Linked DNA regions of Mus musculus. The protein of the gene in region 3 interacts with the protein of the main gene of each other region in a pairwise test. Links are inferred from orthologs where the notes say so. Each region holds a gene or a part of one and is shown on either strand. Other genes may lie near its edges. The genes, in order: Mal2, Arf3 and Arfip2.

What was found.
Region 1: the proteins of Arfip2 (region 3) and Mal2 interact in binary tests that used the Homo sapiens proteins (3 or more experiments, as listed by UniProt). The two-hybrid records come from large-scale screens. The link is inferred for Mus musculus from reciprocal best matches to the Homo sapiens genes ARFIP2 and MAL2.
Region 2: the proteins of Arfip2 (region 3) and Arf3 interact in a two-hybrid assay, tested with the Homo sapiens proteins (2 studies listed by BioGRID and IntAct). The link is inferred for Mus musculus from reciprocal best matches to the Homo sapiens genes ARFIP2 and ARF3.

Annotation. Positions count from the first base shown.
Region 1 is NC_000081.6:54,588,227-54,591,873, forward strand, and holds part of Mal2 (protein MAL2), read left to right. Parts: intron 1-87; coding exon 88-258; intron 259-3,647. UniProt on the Homo sapiens protein: Member of the machinery of polarized transport. Required for the indirect transcytotic route at the step of the egress of the transcytosing cargo from perinuclear endosomes in order for it to travel to the apical surface via a raft-dependent pathway.
Region 2 is NC_000081.6:98,742,531-98,746,177, forward strand, and holds part of Arf3 (ADP-ribosylation factor 3), read right to left. Parts: intron 300-3,647; 5' UTR 211-299; coding exon 63-210; intron 1-62.
Region 3 is NC_000073.6:105,637,478-105,641,923, forward strand, and holds the start of Arfip2 (arfaptin-2), read right to left. Parts: upstream 2,940-4,446; 5' UTR 2,768-2,939; intron 1,989-2,767; 5' UTR 1,947-1,988; coding exon 1,848-1,946; intron 1,629-1,847; coding exon 1,532-1,628; intron 851-1,531; coding exon 732-850; intron 564-731; coding exon 342-563; exon of another isoform or gene 249-341; coding exon of another isoform or gene 177-248; exon of another isoform or gene 85-176; intron 1-84. Other genes in the region: Timm10b (mitochondrial import inner membrane translocase subunit Tim10 B), read left to right, coding at 3,116-3,145, 3,285-3,380, 3,551-3,683. UniProt on the Homo sapiens protein: Plays a role in constitutive metalloproteinase (MMP) secretion from the trans Golgi network. May have important functions during vesicle biogenesis at certain cargo subdomains, which could be predominantly utilized by secreted MMPs, such as MMP7 and MMP2.

The DNA.
Region 1 (3,647 bases), on a different chromosome or scaffold from region 3:
CGTACTCTAATACAAAGCTGCTACTGTGTTCTTTTTTTTGAGTTCTCGAATGCAAAGCGACGACTGTGTTCTTTTTTTTTCTTTCAGGTGCTTGGAGGACTTGTCTGGATTTTGGTTGCTTCCTCCAATGTTCCTCTACCTCTGCTCCAAGGATGGGTCATGTTTGTGTCGGTGACAGCTTTCTTCTTTTCGCTTCTCTTCCTGGGCTTGTTCCTCTCTGGTATGGTGACTCAGATTGATGCCAACTGGAACTTCCTGGTAAGAAATTTTTATAATAAGCCTAATGCAAGAAAATGTAAGAAATGTACAAATATCCCACTCTGTTCAGAAGTGCCCACGACTCTACTCTCTCTGTTGCTGCATGGAGAAGACAGATCAGCATGAAGAGGCCACTATGGTGCCCATGTGTGGGTATGGTGGACAAGATCAGCATGAGGAGGCCACTATGGTGCCCATGTGTGGGTATGGTGGACAAGATCAGCATGAGGAGGCCACTATGGTGCCCATGTGTGGGTATGGTGGACAGCAGGACCTTGGTTTGTAAAATTCCCACATTGATAGAACTGAAAAATCACACTGCTATTTTTATGATTTACTTGAAAACTATTTCATATCATACAACAGATGAATTGAATTATAACTGAACATTAGAACAGATGCCTTTGAGATCTCAGTTACATATGCCTTGAAATTTTCCATTAATTTCTTCTTTGTATATTTAAATGGGTTTAGTCATACCTTAATAAGCAGGGCGCTGATTGCATAACATACCCTCTTACCTGGGATACTATAGATTCTATACATCTATAGATTCTCAGGTCATACATATGTTTGTATATATTTAAATATATAATTAAGCATGCAGGTATAATTTACATAGTATCTACATGCATTGTATTACAAGTTTTATATCATCTGTAGGTTACTTAGAATGCACATCGTAAATGCTATGCACACAGCTTTAAAAAAGATTCATTCATTTTATTTTATGTGTGAATGTTTTACTTGTGTGTATCTCTGTGCATTCCTGGTGTTTGTGGAGGCCAGAAGATGATTGAGAACTATATGTAGTTGCTAGGAATGGAACCAATGTCCTCTGCCAGAGTATAAGTGCTATTGATCAGTGAGCCATCTCTCCAGCCCCTGCATGTAGTTTTTATACTGTGTTGTTTGGATAATGAAGACAGGAGAAGAATGTCTGTACATATTTACTATAGACACATATTTTTCTGAATATTTTTCAATGCATAATTGATTAAATTCACACCCAGGAAATTCACAGACACAGAAGTGGCCAGATTGTCCAAGCTTTGCAGAAAACGTGTAGCTCCATATTGTTTTCAAAAGAGAATATTTTATCATTAGTTCTTCTCTAAAATTAATTGCTGAGTCCTGAAAGATAAATTGATAGCACAATGTTCAACTCAATGTTTAAGATAAGCTACCATTCCCTGCAAATGACTGACATTGTATTTCCCCATGTGTTGCGTGGAGATTCTCTTTCATAGCATGGTCCTTCATTCTCTGGGATGCATTTTGAAAGACAGGTGGGGATGATTCCAATCCAATCCACAGTGACAGGGCTTTAGTGATGCACATAGAGAACTCTCTTTAGCTTCTGAATCACACTGGGGTGTTTTGGAACTTAAGTCAGACCATCATTTGATCTTTATATGTTGTTTTTGAGCATAATAGCATTCCCCCAGCTCAGCAGCTTTAGGGGCAAATGCTAAGGAAAAGTGTTTTACTTACAAAACGTACGGAGAACTATAATCCAAATGTTTTTAGCAGAGGCATCCAGCAAATAGGGCTGTCCTCTAAGACAACGCACAGGCTAAGGGTGGCATGGGTTAGGATAAAGCTAAGAAAGCAGTCTAGTGTAGTGGTCACAGCTTTCAACAGGCTTTCACATGAAGCTTAATTTGCCTAGGACAAAATAGTTAACTGCTCTGTATTCCAATTCTCTCCTCTGTAAAATGGAAGTAATAGCAACTGCCTTGCCAGATGCCCTTAAAGAATAATAGAATTAATGCATTCATAATGCTTAGCTTTGTGACTGGGCCATACTCGCCAAATGACAATAATTATAATTCCTTAAAGACAAGAGGCTTGTAATTCAGAACTTTGAGGGTTCTAGTTCTATGCTGTTGCTAAGGTAGTGTTTTCCTACATTTTCCCAAATTTCAATATTTGTTATTTGATCATATGATAAAGTCCACAGTCCCAAATTAGGGTACAGAGAAATAGTTCATCTCCTCTTTGTAAGTGCCTGACTTTCTCATGAGAAGATCTGCAAGTGGATCAGCTGATCTCCAAAGTTACTAAGGGAAAGCAGGTCCTTCAGGCATCCGACTTAAAGATTGCTCCATGTCTTTGTTCCGCTCTGCTCCTGCTGGTACTTCAGGAGCCTTAATAATCATTACCCATCTTGCTGGCTCTTCTCAAATGCTGTATCACACACCACCAGACCATTCCCATGGGAGTCCTGGATCTCCTGATTGCCTAGCAACTGAGTGTTCAATCTGGAAATGTTTCCGGGATCCTGTATTCTCTCTAATTGGTTGATACATGTACCATTTAAATGCTTAAATACTTTATGATGTCATTCCTGGTCTTGTTAGACAGATATCCGTACCGTATTCCTCCCCACTGCTTATATTGAATCTTCTTTTCAGTACTAAAGCATTTTTAGTAGTTTATTGGTCTTCCCAACTTGGCATTTCCCTCCCGTTTGTAGTATTACCTGTAATGATCAAGCAATAAACTATAAATGTTCTCCTTGTTTAAATTTCACCACTATATCAAAGTGACTGTTGGAAATCTGGGCCTGATGGTGCAAATCCATAATCCAGCACTCTGTAGAATGAGGCTGGAAGGTCTTAAGTCCAAGGCCACGTTGGGCTAACACAGTGACACAAAACAAAACAAACAAACAAAAAATTTTTTAAAAAGGAAACCTCTAATACTTTTCCCATAGTTCATCTGGGAAGATTACCCTATGTTCTCGTACATTTGTCAGTTAAGGAAAGGAACTAGGTATGGGCTGAGAAGGTGCTTAGAGCTAAGAGTGCCTCAAATGTGTAGACTTTTAAAATTTGGGGATATTTGCACAACTTTAGTGCTCAGTTTCAATGTTTGGGCCATCTCAGAGGTCGTATTTTCCCACTAACATTATCCACCATGCAATAGCTGTACACAACATGTGACACTATTGTTGCTATGGCAGGGGCTCAGCACATGGCGGGCATTCCAGCTCCTGCCTCCATCGAGTTTACTAAGTGCTGTTTAGGTTTAGATAAAGATTTCAAGGATGCTCACAACCAACCATCAGACGGAGCACAGGCTGATGGAGGAGATAGAGGAAGGACTGAAGGAGCTGAAGGGGCCTTATCTGGCATCATTAGGATGGGAGGCCCTTGGTCCTGTGAAGACTTGATGCCCCAGTGTAGAGGAATGCTAGGGCAGTGAGACAGGAGTGGGTAGGTGGGTGGGGGAGCACCCTCATAGAAGCAGGGTAAGGAGGAGGGATGGGGTACAGGGTTTGCAGAGGAGAAACCTGGAAAGAGGATAACATTTGGAATGTAAATAAATTTTAAAAAGTAAAAAAAAAAAGGAATTGAGTATAATCAAACTATATAAATATATTA
Region 2 (3,647 bases), on a different chromosome or scaffold from region 3:
GAGGTGTATGAACCTGCCTGGGAAGGGAAGGCCTTGCCTGCCTCCCCTCAGCTTGCCCTTACCAATGGTCGGGATGGTGGTGACAATCTCCCCGAGTTTCAGCTTGTAGAGGATGGTGGTCTTCCCGGCAGCATCCAGGCCCACCATCAGGATGCGCATCTCCTTCTTGCCGATTAGGCTCTTCAGAAGGTTCCCAAAGATATTGCCCATGATTACAGTGGCTGCTTTAAGTCAATAGGGCCCAGGGAGGGGCAGTGTAATCTGGTTTTAGCCTGGTCCTTGGTATGGAGGACTTGACCCTAGACAAAGGAAACACAAACTCCTTACCATCAACTGTTTGTAAAGACTTCATATTCGTGGAATTTGCCAAAGTCAAGGCTGGAGTTCACTCACTACTGGGTAAACACCAGAAGGGACTATGAATACCAAGGCCCACTCACACCCAGACTGAATGTCTGAGAGCAGAGGCAAGCAGGAGGCATGTAGGGCCCTTGCTATGCCAGCAATCTACTGCAATGACTAGGAAGGCTGTTTACTTCATCTTTGCAGAGCTGCACCTAAAAATCAAGAAGGTTCTAGTCGGAGATTTCTAAAGTCATTTCAATTCCAACGTTCTCTGTTACACCCCAGAGCACTGCAAACCCACTTGCCTCTCCTCCGCCAACCTTGCCCTGAGCTTTCTGAGGCGGCGGAGAGCAGAGCGGAATGAGGAGTGGCCCTGTAACTGCTGACAAGGCTCCTGAGGTTTACAGGCTGCTCTAGTCAGAGAGTGCTCCTTCCACACCAGTCTAACTGAGGAAGAAAAGCTGCAAGCAGGACTTCTAGAAGACACTGCTCATTTACACCCTGAGCTGCTGTTACTTCCCCTGTCGATACAGCTACATCCAGAGCTGGGATGGTGGGGAGCTTTCCATGGCTCACCCAGGGAGAGCTGTCCCATAAGGTCACCTGCAAGCAGGTAATCAGTTTGTCCCTCTGTCTTCCCTAGCCTTTTAGCCTGTTCTCCACAAAACAGGCAAAGTGACTTTAAAGGCCAAACCAGGCCCTTTGGTTCTTCAGTTCAAAACCTTTGGTTGCTTCAAGCTCCCTTTAGTAAAACCAAGAGGCCCTGCAGCACTGTGTTCCTGAAACCTACGAATGCTTGGTGCAGTTCAACAGTCCAATTAACTCTGAAGATCTCTATCGACCTCACCTACAGCTCAAGCAGACTGACTGTTCCTTCACCAGTGGTTCACAGCAACACCCGACACCCCTGCTAAACGGGTGAGGACAGCTGTGAGGCACTGTGAGGATGTAGGACAGCTGTGAGGCACTGTGAGGATGTAGGACAGCTGTGAGGCACTGTGAGGATGTAGGACAGCTGTGAGGCACTGTGAGGATGTGGGACAGCTGTGAGCCACTGTGAGCCACTGTGAGGATGTGGGACAGCTGTGAGCCACTGTGAGGATGTGGGACAGCTGTGAGCCACTGTGAGGATGTGGGACAGCTGTGAAGCACTGTGAAGATGTGGGACAGCTGTGAGCCACTGTGAGGATGTGGGACAGCTGTGAAGCACTGTGAGGATGTGGGACAGCTGTGAGCCACTGTGAGGATGTGGGACAGCTGTGAGGCACTGTGAGGATGTGGGACAGCTGTGAGCCGCTGTGAGCCACTGTGACTGCTATGTGACTGCTGAGAACTGACTCGGGTCTCTACAAGAACAAGCACTCTTGCCCGGAGTCATCTCTCCATCCAACAAAAATGTTTTGAGCTATGGTCCCTATTGCCCAGGCTGGTCCCAAATTCACTCTGTAACCAAGGATAAACTTGAACTTATGCTCTTCTTACCTCAACCTAAGTGCTAGGATTACAGGTGTGCACTGCATACTTGGTCTAAAAACGCACCTCTGAAACAGTCATGCAATGGGGGTTCAGAGCACTCAAGCCAGGCAGCTCTCTGTGCCTCAGAAGGCATGTGTCAGCGGGCAGCTTGTTCAGTGATCATCATATGCCAGCTGCTGGCACTCTCCAGAGTCTGGAAACCAGCGACACACACACCCCAAACCCAGAAGGCGAAGGAACAGGTCAGGACAGAGCGCATCTAAACCCAGGAATGTGAGAGGTGGGCAGCGAAGAATCCTAGTTACAAGGTGAATCAGGGAAGTCTGCTGGGAGTTTAGTCACTTTTTTGGAGAACTTCTTCAGGCTTGTTTTGTTTTTCTTGTTTTGTTTCCCCTATTCCTCTGTAGCAAATTCCAGACTAGTGCATAGAACTCAGATCAAGAGCCCCTAGGGACTGAAGTACTAGGCTGTCTAAAAATAAAAAAAGAACTGAGTGCAGAAGCGTTTCATCTTCAGACATCCCCAGACTAAGGAGCCAGGTGTGGTTCTCCCAGGCCTCCCAGCTCACACCCCAGCAACAGGGCTTGTTGGACTTCAGGACTCAATCTCAGCCATGCTGCCCACCTGCCAGCCCCGCCGTCCTTCCAGCCTCAACTCATCCAGTCAGATCTAAGGCCCTTACACATTCCTAAGGTGAGGGCAGGAAGGGGGGGGGGGAGGAGGAGTGACAGGGACACTTGTCCAGCTACTAAAATCAGGTCATCCCAACCTCAGCAACCTATAGTAGTTGGGTTTCTGGTACCATGACCTCCACAAGGAAAACTTTCTCCATGTTTCCTGGGATGGAGCAGAGAGAGCTGAAGAGCTGTTTTTAGGCTCTGGCAGGGATTTTACTTATATCACACACTTCTCCCTGTCTGTCCTCCATGACCACGCTATCACTGATTATATGATCATAGTGAGACCAGCTGCTGAAAAACAAGACCAGCAGCCAATAGCCCTGGCTCGGAACCTCTAGATAACCCTCCACTTCTCTGCTCAACTGTCATGCTGAAGTTACAATTCAAAGTTGACCGTAACCTGACAACAGAGACACGGGCTCTAGTGCAGCACTGTGAGGTGGAAGGAGGAAGGCCTGGAGAGAAAGAGAAGCTGGCTGCACATCTGTCCTGCAAAGTCCCTGAAAGATGTGAACTTCTCATGAAGCACACATTACCCTGTGACTTGCTTTTTTATTAATGGGTACATAGTCATCTCCCTAATTAAAATGTAACCCCCTCTGCAAGGTCTGTATCCTTTGTTTCCTTGGGCCTATCTTGTTTGTTTGTTTGTTTGTTTGTTTTCCGAGACAGGGTTTCTTTGGTAGTCCTGGCTGTCCCGGAACTCACTTTGTAGATCAGGCTGGCCTCGAACTCAGAAATCCGCCTGCCTCCCAAGTGCTGTCTTCACACTCATGACTTAAATCACTATGGATGATCCATCCTGCATACTGACATGAGCTTCAACCAGAGATATCCCTGTGTCATTTCTTCTGCCCAGTAGGATTGCTATCTATGGACTACAGTTGATCAATGTGCTGTAAAGCTGGGCATGGTGACACATACATCTGTGATCCCAACACTTAAGACCTGGAGGCAAGGAGATCAGAAGTTCAAGGCTACCCACAACTATCTATCAAGTTTGATGACAGTCTGGGTTAATGTGGGATGGAGGTGGGGGATTCATCAAGAATGAACATTGCACCAAAGCCACATGTACTACATGTCCATGTTCACTGCCTACTGTCATTGTCACCACATACCCATAATAAATGTGGGGGGGGGGGC
Region 3 (4,446 bases):
AGTTCTTAGGTGAGTTTACAAGACAGAACACGGAGAGCTAGTGCAGCAGGCAGGGAGGGAATCTGATTAGGCCAAGCACCAAAGGCATTCTTGATGATGTGGAGACAGGTTACTTATGAGGTACTGGTGAGCCCTCTCCCACAACCCTTCCAACTTCTGGGCCTCTGTACAAACCCTTAGGCTGCCTCCATAGGTGAGTGATGCTGGGGGCAGGACTGGGCGCACCCCAGAGGGGTTCTCCCTGGGGGCTGCAGGAGGGAGGGAGGGAGGGAGGCTGAGGAAAGCCTGCCTGGAAGGACCAGGGCCCAGTACCCCCACCCTCTTTGTTTTGGCTGAGGCACCTGAAGCTCTGGGGACTTCTGGCTGAGGTCAGCAAAGGCATCACCTAGTGCATGCTGGGTCTGCAACAGGCTGTAGAGGTGGGCTGTCAGTGCCCGGCCCAGCTGCAGGACACTTTCATACTTGCGCTTCGTCTCACGCAGCAACTCAATCTGCAGCTCTAGCTCCAGATCCACAGTCCGGGAGCCTCGGCCAAATCTCTCTGATAACAGCTGCTTTGTGCACTGATTGGAAGGGGGGGGGGGTGAGGTCAGAAATCTAAACTCCACCCCAACAATGAACTACTCCAGCACCCCCGTTCTCTTAGTCATAGCAAAGACTACACAGTAAGACCTGGGGAAAGGGAAAAGGTCCCCACGGAGAATTTCTGAGGAGAAGCACTTGAATCTTACCTTATATGTGTTGATGCCCCATTTCTTGACGATGTCAAACTTTTCTCCAGCGATGCCCCGGGCCACCTCGTCACCAGGGCCAGAGGGTGACGTGCTGTGAGATGGATGTCGGCCAGACCCTAAAGGACCAAGTTCTCTGACACCAGTTTCTCTTAGATAAAACCATACACTTCTGTGGCTCACTCCTCCCCCCCACCCCCCCAAACACACGAAATGACCTCTCTGAAGAAGGACTATCTAGACAGACAACTGCATTCTTCTGGTCACTAGGGGGAACAAGGACTCATGTCCTGACAACCAAATCAATTCAATGTATGTATCTGGCATTCTTGGAGTAGGGTAGGAGTGTTGTTGGTGTACGAGATAAGCGGGAATAGAAGCAAACATGACATGTGCGATTGGCAGGATCAAAGATGGTGAACACAGAAAAACAGAGAAGTTGGCTTATATTTCTAGGTAGAATTCTAGCCAGTAAAAGAGTCTAAAATGAAACTCTGAGAAGCCTCACAAAGCTCCAAACTGGCCTTAAGCTCCTGAGTGCTCATAACCTTAAGGTCTTAACTTGGCTCAGATGGTGGCGGCAAGGAGGAGAAGACGAGTGAGATTATCTTCGAGACTGACTGGCCAGTGGGAGGCAGATGGGCAACTCTGGGAGCTGGCCTGGGACTGGACTGTCTATGAACTTCACACCAGCAGTTCGCAAGCTCTCCAGTCCAGGAGTCAAGCTTTCCTGTATGTGTCTATGTGCCTGCAAACTGTCTCAACACCCCACCCCTCAAGCCTATCTCTATCATTCATACCTGTGGGGATGAGTCCGTCACCAGAGCCCCCATAGCCACCAGACACAATGCTAGTTTCATTGAGGTTGGGTCCTGACACCATCACCTGCTGGAGGTCCTATAGGTCAGAGAAGAGGGGGGCACCTCAGGAACACAGGGATGGATGAAACATTTTGGGGACGGAGACAGTGCATAGTAAAGTCTGTACAGAACCATAAAGAAGATTTGAAAAGTATGAAGGAGTTTAGTTAACTGAAGGCTACCGGGACAGGGGAAATTAAAGGTTTATAAGTCAGGAATGTATAACAAAACAATGAGAAGAATCAAACAGAAGCACCTGCTCCAGCCCATCGTCTTCAGGAAGCTGCCCAGCTTCGCCATTTCCGTGGATGGGAATCTCCATTGTGGCTGCCTTCCCTAGAATCCCGTCCGTCATGGCTAGGGAAGGGACTGGAGTCAAGGTCTCCACCCCAGCACGCTGTAAAGCCCAACACAGACAATTCTGGAAACTGGCCAGCACTCCAGAACAAGGAGGCCTTCCCTGTGTTCTCAGAGGTTTCAGGGGTTGTCTTTGGGCTTGGGTGTCCTGGGATCAGCCACCACGGCTTTCCTTGAGTTTGTGTGTTTCTTCTCTTCTGAGGACATTATCTCTACAGATGCATGCATACCAAAGCCTCGGGTGTCTTCTCATAACCCCCCTACCTCGCCTTCAGTAACCATTCATGCATTCAGTCATTCAACAACTATCTAGTGAGTGTCTATTATGAGTGAGATACTGAGGCAATGGGATTATAGCAGTGAGGACCAGAGGGGAGGTCTATGCTCTCTGGGAACTTAACCCTGCAGAGGCAATGTTTACCAGAACCCTTTCCTAGGCTCAGACTCTCACTTGCCACTCAGGCATGCTCTACAATCCTGGTCTTTCACATTCTTTGGTGTTCCTTCCCCTCTTCCTTCAGCCGGTCTGGGCTCTTCCTTTCTCCATCTCATGCACCTGACTCCCTTAGGCCCTCCCCAGCAGGCCTTGGTTGAAGCAGTTAGTGAATGTTCCTGGTGTCAGGTGAAAGGCTCTCTTTCCCAGGACACGGGCAATCCCTTCCAAAGTCAGCTGAAGCCTCCCAGATGTGAGGGGCTCCCCCCACCCCCATACACCTGGGCATCAGGTGTGTCCTCATCCTTGCCAAGGGCTCAGGGCATTTTGCCCTCAGTACAGGTTCGTGCGTTCAACTTCCCTTCGTCCAAGTATGTCCTTCTCACCTGGGCCGGGCCGCTCTTCCCCTCAGGGCGCGAGGCCCGGACCGCGCGGGGACCTCGGGTTCCAGTTCTCGTCGCGATCCTAGCAGCAGGTCAGAGATTTGGCGGAAGTGACATGCTCTCTGGGCAGAAGAAGCCGGCCACGTCGCAGAGAAAAAGGGCGGAAGTGACGTTTGCAGTTGTGGGCAGGACGAGCCTGGAGCTACGCCTTCAAGCTCTTGGGGAGTAGTGAGAGTTTACTTCCGGGGCGACTCTGAGAGCTCTAACCTCCCCCCTCCGCCCCCCCAACCCCGCGCCACCCTGCCACCCCGCCACGGGCGGAAGTGACTAGGGCTGTGCGCCCTTGGCGTGATGGAGCAGCAGCAGCAGCAACTGAGAAACGTGAGTGAGAGCGCAGTTGCTCTCTGGGTTAGACGTGCAGTTTGTTTCCAGGGGTACACGCAAGAACCCGAGGGGGAGACGGGCTGTGCATCCCGGGGAGCCTTAGCGGTGGTGAAGTCGTGGTTCCCTTTTCTCTCAGTTGCGAGACTTCCTGTTGGTCTACAATCGGATGACAGAACTGTGTTTCCAGCGCTGTGTGCCCAGCCTGCACCACCGAGCTCTGGACGCTGAGGAGGTGGAGACAGTGTGGGGGTCCCAGAGTTGACAACGTGACGTGACACCCTCCCCCAGCCCCCCATCTTCTCCCTCTTTCTTGACCTCACTCCTAGGCTGGGGACCGGGAAGGAAGGAGGCGGGCTTGACTGGACCCCTTTTAGTTTCTACTTCCCTCCGTCTTCCTTCCAGGAGGCCTGCCTGCACAGCTGTGCTGGGAAACTCATCCATTCTAACCACCGCCTCATGGCCGCTTACGTGCACCTCATGCCCGCCCTGGTCCAGCGCCGCATCGCGGACTACGAGGCTGCCTCGGCCGCGCCAGGTATTCCTGCAGAACAGACCAGAGACTCGCCATCAGGCAGCTAGCCGTCCCTGGCCCCTGGAGAGAAGGTGCTTGGATGGGCTCCTCTATGGACCTTGGGCTTATCTAAATGTGTACAGAGAGATTGAGCTTGAAAGCTGGGTGCTGTTGCTCCTTTTCTTGGAGCCAATAAACCCGTTTTTACAGTCTGGTTATTTGTCTATGGGTACCAGCCTTTATTCTGTCATCTAGTGCATGTGTACTGCCTTTAGCCCTGGAGGTTGATGTAGTGCCTTCTTATGTGTAGAAGGACAAATTCAGCATTCCCAGCACCCCAGCAAAAGCAGGGATTATGGGTAGAGCTTTAAGGTTAGTAATAGCAATGGGAAATTGGTTCCAAAAGGAGAGCTCTCAGTGGCTGTCCTTGGGACTAACTCAAGGACCTGAATATACATTGACTCATAACTAGTTTTTATTTTCAGCTGTCAAAAAGAATTGCTGTGAACCTAGGGGAAGAAGGTAAAACCAAACAACAAAAGCAGGAAGAAAACTCTACCCCCTTAGGCTTTAGCCACTGCTTCCTAGGAGGTCAGTGACAACAGAACAAAGACAAGCCTCTAAGAATTCAGGAATGTTGACCATTTCCCCAATTTACTCTCTTAGTACTTCCTGCCTTTGTGAAATTAGCAATAAAGACTTTAAACAAAGAAGTGCTTTCTTGTCTTCAGAGTCAGTCAGGAAGGCAGCATTGGTCAAACCTCAGGAAGAGAACTCGAGGGAGAGG